2 linked regions of the Cricetulus griseus genome follow. The protein of the gene in region 1 purifies or fractionates together with the protein of each later gene. This does not show direct contact. Links are inferred from orthologs where the notes say so. Each region holds a gene or a part of one and is shown in the gene's direction. Other genes may lie near its edges.

The links. The genes of interacting proteins can lie anywhere in the genome.
Region 2: the proteins of Hadha (region 1) and Gpc1 purify together in Homo sapiens (co-immunoprecipitation; 3 studies listed by BioGRID and IntAct, with this or other methods). This does not show direct contact. The link is inferred for Cricetulus griseus from reciprocal best matches to the Homo sapiens genes HADHA and GPC1.

What each region holds. Positions count from the first base shown.
Region 1 is NC_048600.1:14,156,794-14,160,293, forward strand, and holds part of Hadha (trifunctional enzyme subunit alpha, mitochondrial), read left to right. Parts: intron 1-152; coding exon 153-293; intron 294-667; coding exon 668-736; intron 737-1,594; coding exon 1,595-1,790; intron 1,791-2,373; coding exon 2,374-2,488; intron 2,489-3,359; coding exon 3,360-3,500. UniProt on the Homo sapiens protein: Mitochondrial trifunctional enzyme catalyzes the last three of the four reactions of the mitochondrial beta-oxidation pathway.
Region 2 is NC_048595.1:444,321,243-444,325,237, forward strand, and holds the start of Gpc1 (glypican-1), read left to right. Parts: upstream 1-1,195; 5' UTR 1,196-1,492; coding exon 1,493-1,658; intron 1,659-3,995. UniProt on the Homo sapiens protein: Cell surface proteoglycan that bears heparan sulfate. Binds, via the heparan sulfate side chains, alpha-4 (V) collagen and participates in Schwann cell myelination.

The sequences.
Region 1 (3,500 bases):
GAGGAAGTGATGACGAGGCCACAGACCCAAGCCTTTGGACTAGATCACAGTGCTCCTGGCCACAGACCTTCCTCTCCAGTGTCTCCCTAGGGAACATGGCTCAGTTGGGTTCTCCCGGCAGCACTGTAATCTTGGCTGTGGCCCCTCACCAGGTGATTGGCATGCACTACTTTTCTCCTGTGGACAAGATGCAGCTTCTGGAAATCATCACGACTGACAAAACCTCCAAGGACACCACAGCCTCTGCCGTAGCAGTGGGTCTCAAGCAGGGCAAAGTCATCATTGTGGTGAAGGTAAGGCACAGGGGCAGGTGCAGATTTCCTAAGCCTGCAGAATTGTGTGTGACCTAATTTTTTGGGGGGGGAGGGGAGATACCAGCTTCTACAATGACCACTGGGTTGTCTCTGAGATGATAGTAGCTGAGATGGGGTAGGTATGGTAGTGTCTAGGCTCTGGAAGGTCCTCTCCAGTGAGTCCAGACATCAAAGGTTACATGAAACCCACACTGTTCAGGATGGCTTCCTTTCCAGGGTAACAATGAGCGTTCTGAGAGTTTTAAGTCAGCTGAAACCATGAAATGAAGTGTGGGAAAGAGAAACTGGGTGTGGACATGGGTAGTTCAACCAAAGCAGGGCTGGCCGGCCATTAGCTTTCTTCCTCTCGGCAGGATGGACCTGGCTTCTACACCACCAGGTGTCTTGCTCCCATGATGTCTGAAGTCATACGAATCCTCCAGGTGTGTATTGTTCTGTGGAATGCTTGAGACCTTGTCAGATCTTTCACTCTGTTCTCCAAGCTGAAGATGTCCAGATGAGGGACAGGCTCCCCTAGAATATACCACTGATTTTCCCTGGAGGCCCTTTTGTGCCTCCCTTGGGGCTGAGACTGCCCAATAAGCAGAATGTTAATTCTGCTCTGTTAGCTTCCTGAGCATTGCAGGAGCCAAAGGCCTTCCAGAATCTCAGACACACGGCTTTTATATCCCTGGGGTGAGACTTTCAGACCAGAACCTGCTTGGCCTGACTACCACTGTATCTGCTTTGCTATGCACACACACACATGTGTGCATGTTCACAGACAGACAGACACACACACACACACACACACACACACACTCTCTCTCTCTCTCTCTCTCTCTCTCTCTCTCTCTCTCTCTCTTTCTCTCTCTCTCTCTCTACCTCCATGGCCATCCAGATCATTCTATGGCACTTCCCTAGCCTCAGAATGCCAGCATTCCCAGTCTTGGTAGCTATGGCATTGCCTTAGTCCTAAGATTTGGAATCACAAGCAAGAACTGAGTGATCTGGTTGTCTCTAAGCTTTCTTAAAGGGCGTGGGAAAGCTTCTGGGTTTGTGCTTACGCTTTCCTGGGTGAAGGGCTGGTTCTGGACCTGGCCAGGTGATGTCCAAGGAAAGAAGTGGGTTTCACACAGGCTATGTCTGTGGGTAATTACAGGCAACCCTGGTGCTGGTGGGGGTGGGGGATGGCTGTGCTCTGAGCCCCTGCTTTACTTCCTGTTCAGGACAGGCAACCCTGGTGCTGGTGGGGGTGGGGGATGGCTGTGCTCTGAGCCCCTGCTTTACTTCCTGCTCAGGAAGGGGTTGACCCTAAGAAGCTGGACGCCTTGACCACAGGCTTCGGCTTTCCTGTGGGCGCTGCCACCCTGGCGGATGAAGTCGGTGTGGATGTAGCACAGCATGTAGCAGAAGACCTAGGCAAAGCCTTTGGGGAGCGGTTCGGAGGTGGCAACGTGGAACTGCTGAAGCAGATGGTCTCCAAGGGCTTCTTGGGTGAGTAGCACAGGTGACATGCGTAAACTCTGTTACTTACAGAGTTGTGAGCAGCTGCCTGAGAGCAGAGTGTGTGGAGGAGAGAGTTTCCTAAACACAGAGCCCTGGACATAGAGAATCTCTTAGGCTGAGCATGCAGATTAGGGGGAAAGGCATAGTCTAGGTTTATGGGGCTCTGCCATGTATGCCAGATAGATCACCATATTCCTCCTGCCAAGGTCTGGCACTATAGGAGCAAGTTCTGTATCCAGGTTTAACCCTGTGGTCTGGCCACCCATGGGAGTTCAACCTTTCTATTCAGAACATACAATTAAGACTGCAGTAAAATCACCTTTAGGGCCTAGGCCTCTAGCTGGACACTGAGGTCTGGGGGTGGGATAGGGGTGGATTTTCTTGTTCGTATTCAGATTTCCATGCACCAGGTGCTTCCTCTCTTCTCTGTCAGTTGGACTGAATGGCTCAGCTGGCTGGACGCAGGCACTTAGCAGTGCAGCAGAATGCTAGAAGCTCACAGTGTCCAGAAGACAGGAGTTCTCAGCTGGGGTGAAGGGCAATGACTAACACAGTCTCTTTCTTCTCTCAGGTCGCAAGTCTGGGAAGGGCTTTTACATCTATCAGGAGGGATCAAAGAATAAGAGCTTGAACTCTGAAATGGATGGGATCCTGGTAAACCTGAGGCTGGCTGCCAAGCCTGAGGTGTAAGTTGATCCAGTGACTGCTTGCACAGAAATGATTTCTCTGGTAGCTCAAAGCTCCGAGGCCCCTTTTTGGTTCTCTTTATGGCCCGAAGCTGGCAAAACACTATACAGCTAAAAGCCCTGCATGTACTCTCAGTGCAAGTGTCCAGGTGAGAGTGGGCCAAGCCTGCGACAAACCTTGCCTGTGTTTTTGTTGTTGTTGTTGTTTTTCAAGGCAGGGTTTCTCTGTGTAACAGTCCTGGCTGTCCTGGAACTCTGTCTGTAGACCAGGCTGGCCTTGGACTCAGAGATCTGCCTGCCTCTGCCTCCCAAGTGCTGGGATTAAAGGCTTGCGCCACCACTGGCTTCAAGTGCCTTTCTTAAGACTGTGATGTTAAGATTAGATACTGATGATTTCTAGACTTTGACACAATCATAAGAAAACCAGAGCTCAGCGAGATTATGCCATTTGCCCAAATTTACCCAGCAAGGCAGTGAAGGAACTGGGATCTATATTCAGTCCCCCTCTAAGATGCTTGAGTCTGGTGACTGAAGGTGAGAGATGGATTATGCAGGCGCCTGCACCCCCCCCCTTACATTGAAGTTAATCATTGCCCTGCACCCCCCTTGCTCTTTGTTAGCTTTGGAAATACACAGATGTTGCTGTCAGGAAATGATCGCACTTTTTCTGTGCCAGACCATTTTGGGTGTTCATACCAGTTAGGGAAAGTCCCACCCCTTTTTCCAGGAGATGGGCTGTGTCATCTTTCAGGATGGTGTGGTCCTTCCTGGCCACTGGGTTCCCTAGGGCTCACCCGCACCCCACATGCTGCACTCCAGCTCTTCCTGTTGTTTCTCTGGCTAAATGTTCCTTCTTGTTCCTTCTCCTCAGCTCCTCTGATGAAGACATCCAATACCGTGTGATAATGAGGTTCGTGAATGAGGCAGTCCTGTGCCTGCAGGAAGGGATCCTGGCCACACCTGCAGAGGGAGACATTGGAGCGGTGTTTGGGCTTGGCTTTCCCCCTTGTCT
Region 2 (3,995 bases), on another chromosome or scaffold:
CCCTGGACTCGTCTGTCACATAGGCATTATCTTATGACTCTCAACCAAGTGAGCCAGTTCGCTTGCTTTCTTCCCATTTCCAGATTCGGTATCTGGGTTCAGTCTGGCCTCAGCTATGATGGCCTCTGGGGCCTTTACCCACAGGGCAGAAGGAAAAGCAGAAAGGGACAGTGCCACTGGCAGCAGCCAAGCAAGAAAGTCCAAACCAAGCACCACCAGCCCCCAGGTGGGGTGCCAGGCACCCTCCCCTCCTCCGCCATCATCCCTGCAGCTCTGCTTGGCAGTCCTGCACAACACGTCTGGGGTTGAGCTGTCCTGCATGGTCTCCTAACTCCACTCCTTTCCAGAGGTCATCTGCCACCCTGCATTCAAGCCCACAGACCTGCCTCTGCTCCATCGCTTTTGTCGCCCAAGCACCTAAAGAATCACGAAGAGGGGACCAGAACACCCGCTGACAATCTGTAACATATAAGTCATCGGAGCTAGTGAAGGCTAGTTTTTTGGCCAGTTTCCCGCCTTCGGCCCCCTCACCCTCCTCCAAAACACATCAGATGAGAACTGGAGCCGTGCAGGAGCGGCTAGAAAGGGCGTAGGGAGGTGGGCGCTGTTGGGGGTGTGGGTGTGCAGGTGACCAGGGAAGCGAGAGACCAGGACAGAGTGGTGGAAGCCCTGAAAGAGAAAGCCGGGTACGCTTAAGGATGGAGAAGAGCAAAGGGGTGCCGAATTCGGCAGGGGGCGGGGAAACCCCTGATTGGCCGGGGAGGACGTGATGTCACGTCCGGCGAGGGAAGCCCTGCCTCAGCGGTCCCCCCCGCCCCGCCCCCGCCCCCACAGGTGGTGCCTCCGCCCTGAGTACTGGGCTTCTGGGGGAGGCACCTTCGGGGACCCTGGACTCCGCTTTGCATTCCTGGCTCCCCCCCTCCCTTCCTCCCTCCTCCCCAGCAACCGAGCCCATCGCGTGGACTGCAAGGGCCTGCACGCCTCCTCCTCCTCCTCCTCCTCCTCCTCCTCCTCCTCCTTCCCGAGAGCAGAGGAGCGCCCGGTGCGCCCCGATCGTGCCCCCAACCGCGCCCGCGCCCCCCGCCCCGCCTAGCCCCGCCCGGGCGCTCCCCTCTTCCGCGCCGCGCTCCCCGCCCCTCCCTGCCCCTCTCCGCGGCCGCCGTGGGGCCGGGCGGGCGGGCGGGCGGCGGGGGAGGCGCTGAGCCGGGACTGCGCGTTCGCCCGCCGCGCTCTGGGCGGCCCGACTGAGCGCCTGGACCTCGCGCGCCTCGCGCCTCGCGCCTCGCGCCGCAGTCGCAGCCGGCTTTTGTTGTCTCCGCCTCCTCGGCCGCCGCCGCCGCGCCTCTGGACCACGAGCGCCGCCGCCGCCGCCGCCGCGCGCGCCGGGACCTTGGCTCTGCCCTTCGCAGACTGGGCTGAACGGGCCGGCCGGCCGGGAGCGAGGGAGGGAAGCGCGCGCGGGCGGGCGGCCGGGGAGCCACGGGCCCCCGCCATGGAGCTCCGGGCCAGAGGCTGGTGGCTGCTGTGCGCGATCGCCGCGCTGGTCGCCTGCGTCCGCGGGGACCCCGCCAGCAAGAGCCGGAGCTGCAGCGAAGTCCGTCAGATCTACGGGGCCAAGGGCTTTAGCCTGAGCGACGTGCCCCAGGCAGAGATCTCCGGTGAGTAAGGGCGCGGCAGTGTCCGGGGGCTCCGGACCCCAGCACTCAGGAGGAGGAGGAGGAGGAGGTCTGCTCCGGGCCCCTGACCCCGCCGCAGCTAGCCCCGGGCGCCAGAACCCGCCACCTAGACTTGGAGTGGCCTCCTGCGCCTCCGCTGCTCTGTCCCCCGCGGCCCTCGCCCCTGAGCTCCGATCCGCTCTGTTGCTTCCCAGTTCCCAGTCTCTGCGCGCTGGAGCCCCTTCCTCTTAGCGCTGTTCTGGCCCGGCTAGGGACGAGTGGACCCCAGTGCGGTGCACTCCCTTCGGGTCAGGGTTGGAGCTGGGCGTCTTCAGCCCCTGGCTTGGCCCAATGTGCCTGTGGGGCGACAATCCCAGCTCCGGGGCAGCGTGCCTGCCGCCCTTGTGGCGGAGCAAGCGGTAGCTGTGGGGCGGTCTGTCGGGGCACAGCTCCCGGTGGCAGCGGGCTAGGAACTTCTCTATGCGGACCTCTCCCAGAGGCGTCAAGGTTCTACTTAGGAATTCCCGCGGGTCCACGGCGGGAGCAGCCTAAGTGGGATTTATGGGAGGAGATCCTATCCTGCAAGCCTGAATTCCAGGGAAATGTGAGCCCGCTGTGGGCTTCAGGCGACCCCAGGGCTCGCTGGGATTCCTACCCAGGAACTTGTGCCCTCCAGCGCCCGGGCCCTTGCGCACTCGTGGTCGGGCCGGGCACTTGGGGCCGCCTGGAGCTACGAGCCCAGCTGCAGGTGGTCGACGTCTTGGATCCCGCCCAGGGGCCTTGTCATCTCTTTGTAAGAAGAGCGGCCCTCCTGGCGGCAGCCTCGGCCCTGCAGCTGCTGGGAGCAGCCCTTCCCCTCCCTTCCCTTCCCCGCTGCCTCGGGAGCTCTGGGAACCGAATCTTTATGAGCTTGGAGCGCCGATGCAATGTCCTAAGGACCTCCCCAGCCCCAGGCTTCACCCTTCAATGTGTGTGGAGCTCCCCTGGATAAGTGCAACACCAGGGCCTTGGTGAGCAGGGAATTCCCGCTGTAGGGTTCTTCTGAAACTGAAGGGGCTTGCAGGCTAGAAGCCAAGCTCAAGTGGTACCATGGGCACTCTGAATGAGGAAAATCAGGAGTGTCACCCAGAGTGGGTAGCCTGTGGCCTTACCTTGCTTGGGAGTGGTAGTAAGTAGCCAGGCTCTGGGGAGAGACAGAACCCAGAGATACCTTGTTTGGCCCCAGTCTCTTGGCTAGCTGCCCCTCAGATACCCCTAGTACAGGCCTTTCTGTGCCTCTCTCTGCAGACAGCCCTGCTATGTCAAGGCCACACCTCCTGCACTTCTCTGGGCACTGTCCACCTGGGTGTCTGGCAACAGAAGGTGTCCTGCTTTCCCCTCCTCCAAACACACATAAATAGGAACTTAAACCCCGGGCATCCTTGCCTGCCTCTGATCCTTGCCAGACTCCAGATCCCCACACACACCAGTCTGACACCTTCCAGCCTACAGCTTCCCATGGCATGGCCAGGCCCACCCGCCTTAATGCCTTCTTGAGGAGCTTCTTAAGCGTGTACCCACCCACTGCTACTGTGCCCGTGTCAGCAGGGACTGGCAGTGTGGGCAGTGACAAGGGCACTGAGAGGGTAAAATAAGAGGCAGAGATGTGGCCTTCCAGAGATTCTGGGTCTTTCTGCCCAGGGTTGGGGAATGTGGGAGTTAGGAACTCAAGACAAGTAAAATGCGGTGATGTCTTTGTCGGCTGCGAGTACTGTCCATCCAGCTGGGATGTGTGGGTACCCTGAAGAATTACTGCTATCATACCAGTTGGAGTCCAGCATCTGTTCAGGGTCACCCCACTTATTGGTATGCAAGGCTGGGGGCTGTGTTCTTCCACCATCCCTATTGGTGCACCTCAGAAATCGTGCCCTGCTTCCCTGGAACCCCCTTGGGCTGCACCTCATAGCCCTCAGAGTGGGAGAGAGAGTCTCTACAAGCCCCAGGGCACTGAAGAGAGTATTAGCACATAGACTGAGAAGCAGGGTGGCCGCCAGGATAGCCGGAGCCCAAGCGGCAGCCAAGCTCAGGGTCCTGTCTGGTTTTGTACCACCAGACCTGGACTCCAAGGACCAGGCGCCCTCTGGTGGCCCCTGATGGCGCAGTCCTCCCTAGAGCTCTAAATCCTCTGAGCCTTTTCCTGCAGCACCGATCTAGACTTCCAAAGAACGTTCTCCTCTAAGGAGTATGGGGATCCCCCGGGGGCTAGATACCTGCTCAGGTACTACTGGAGGTCAGTGGGTGGTTGGGAGAGAAGAAGGGTGGACTATGAGCGCTTGAGTGGCCTTTTCTGCTCCTGTCTTG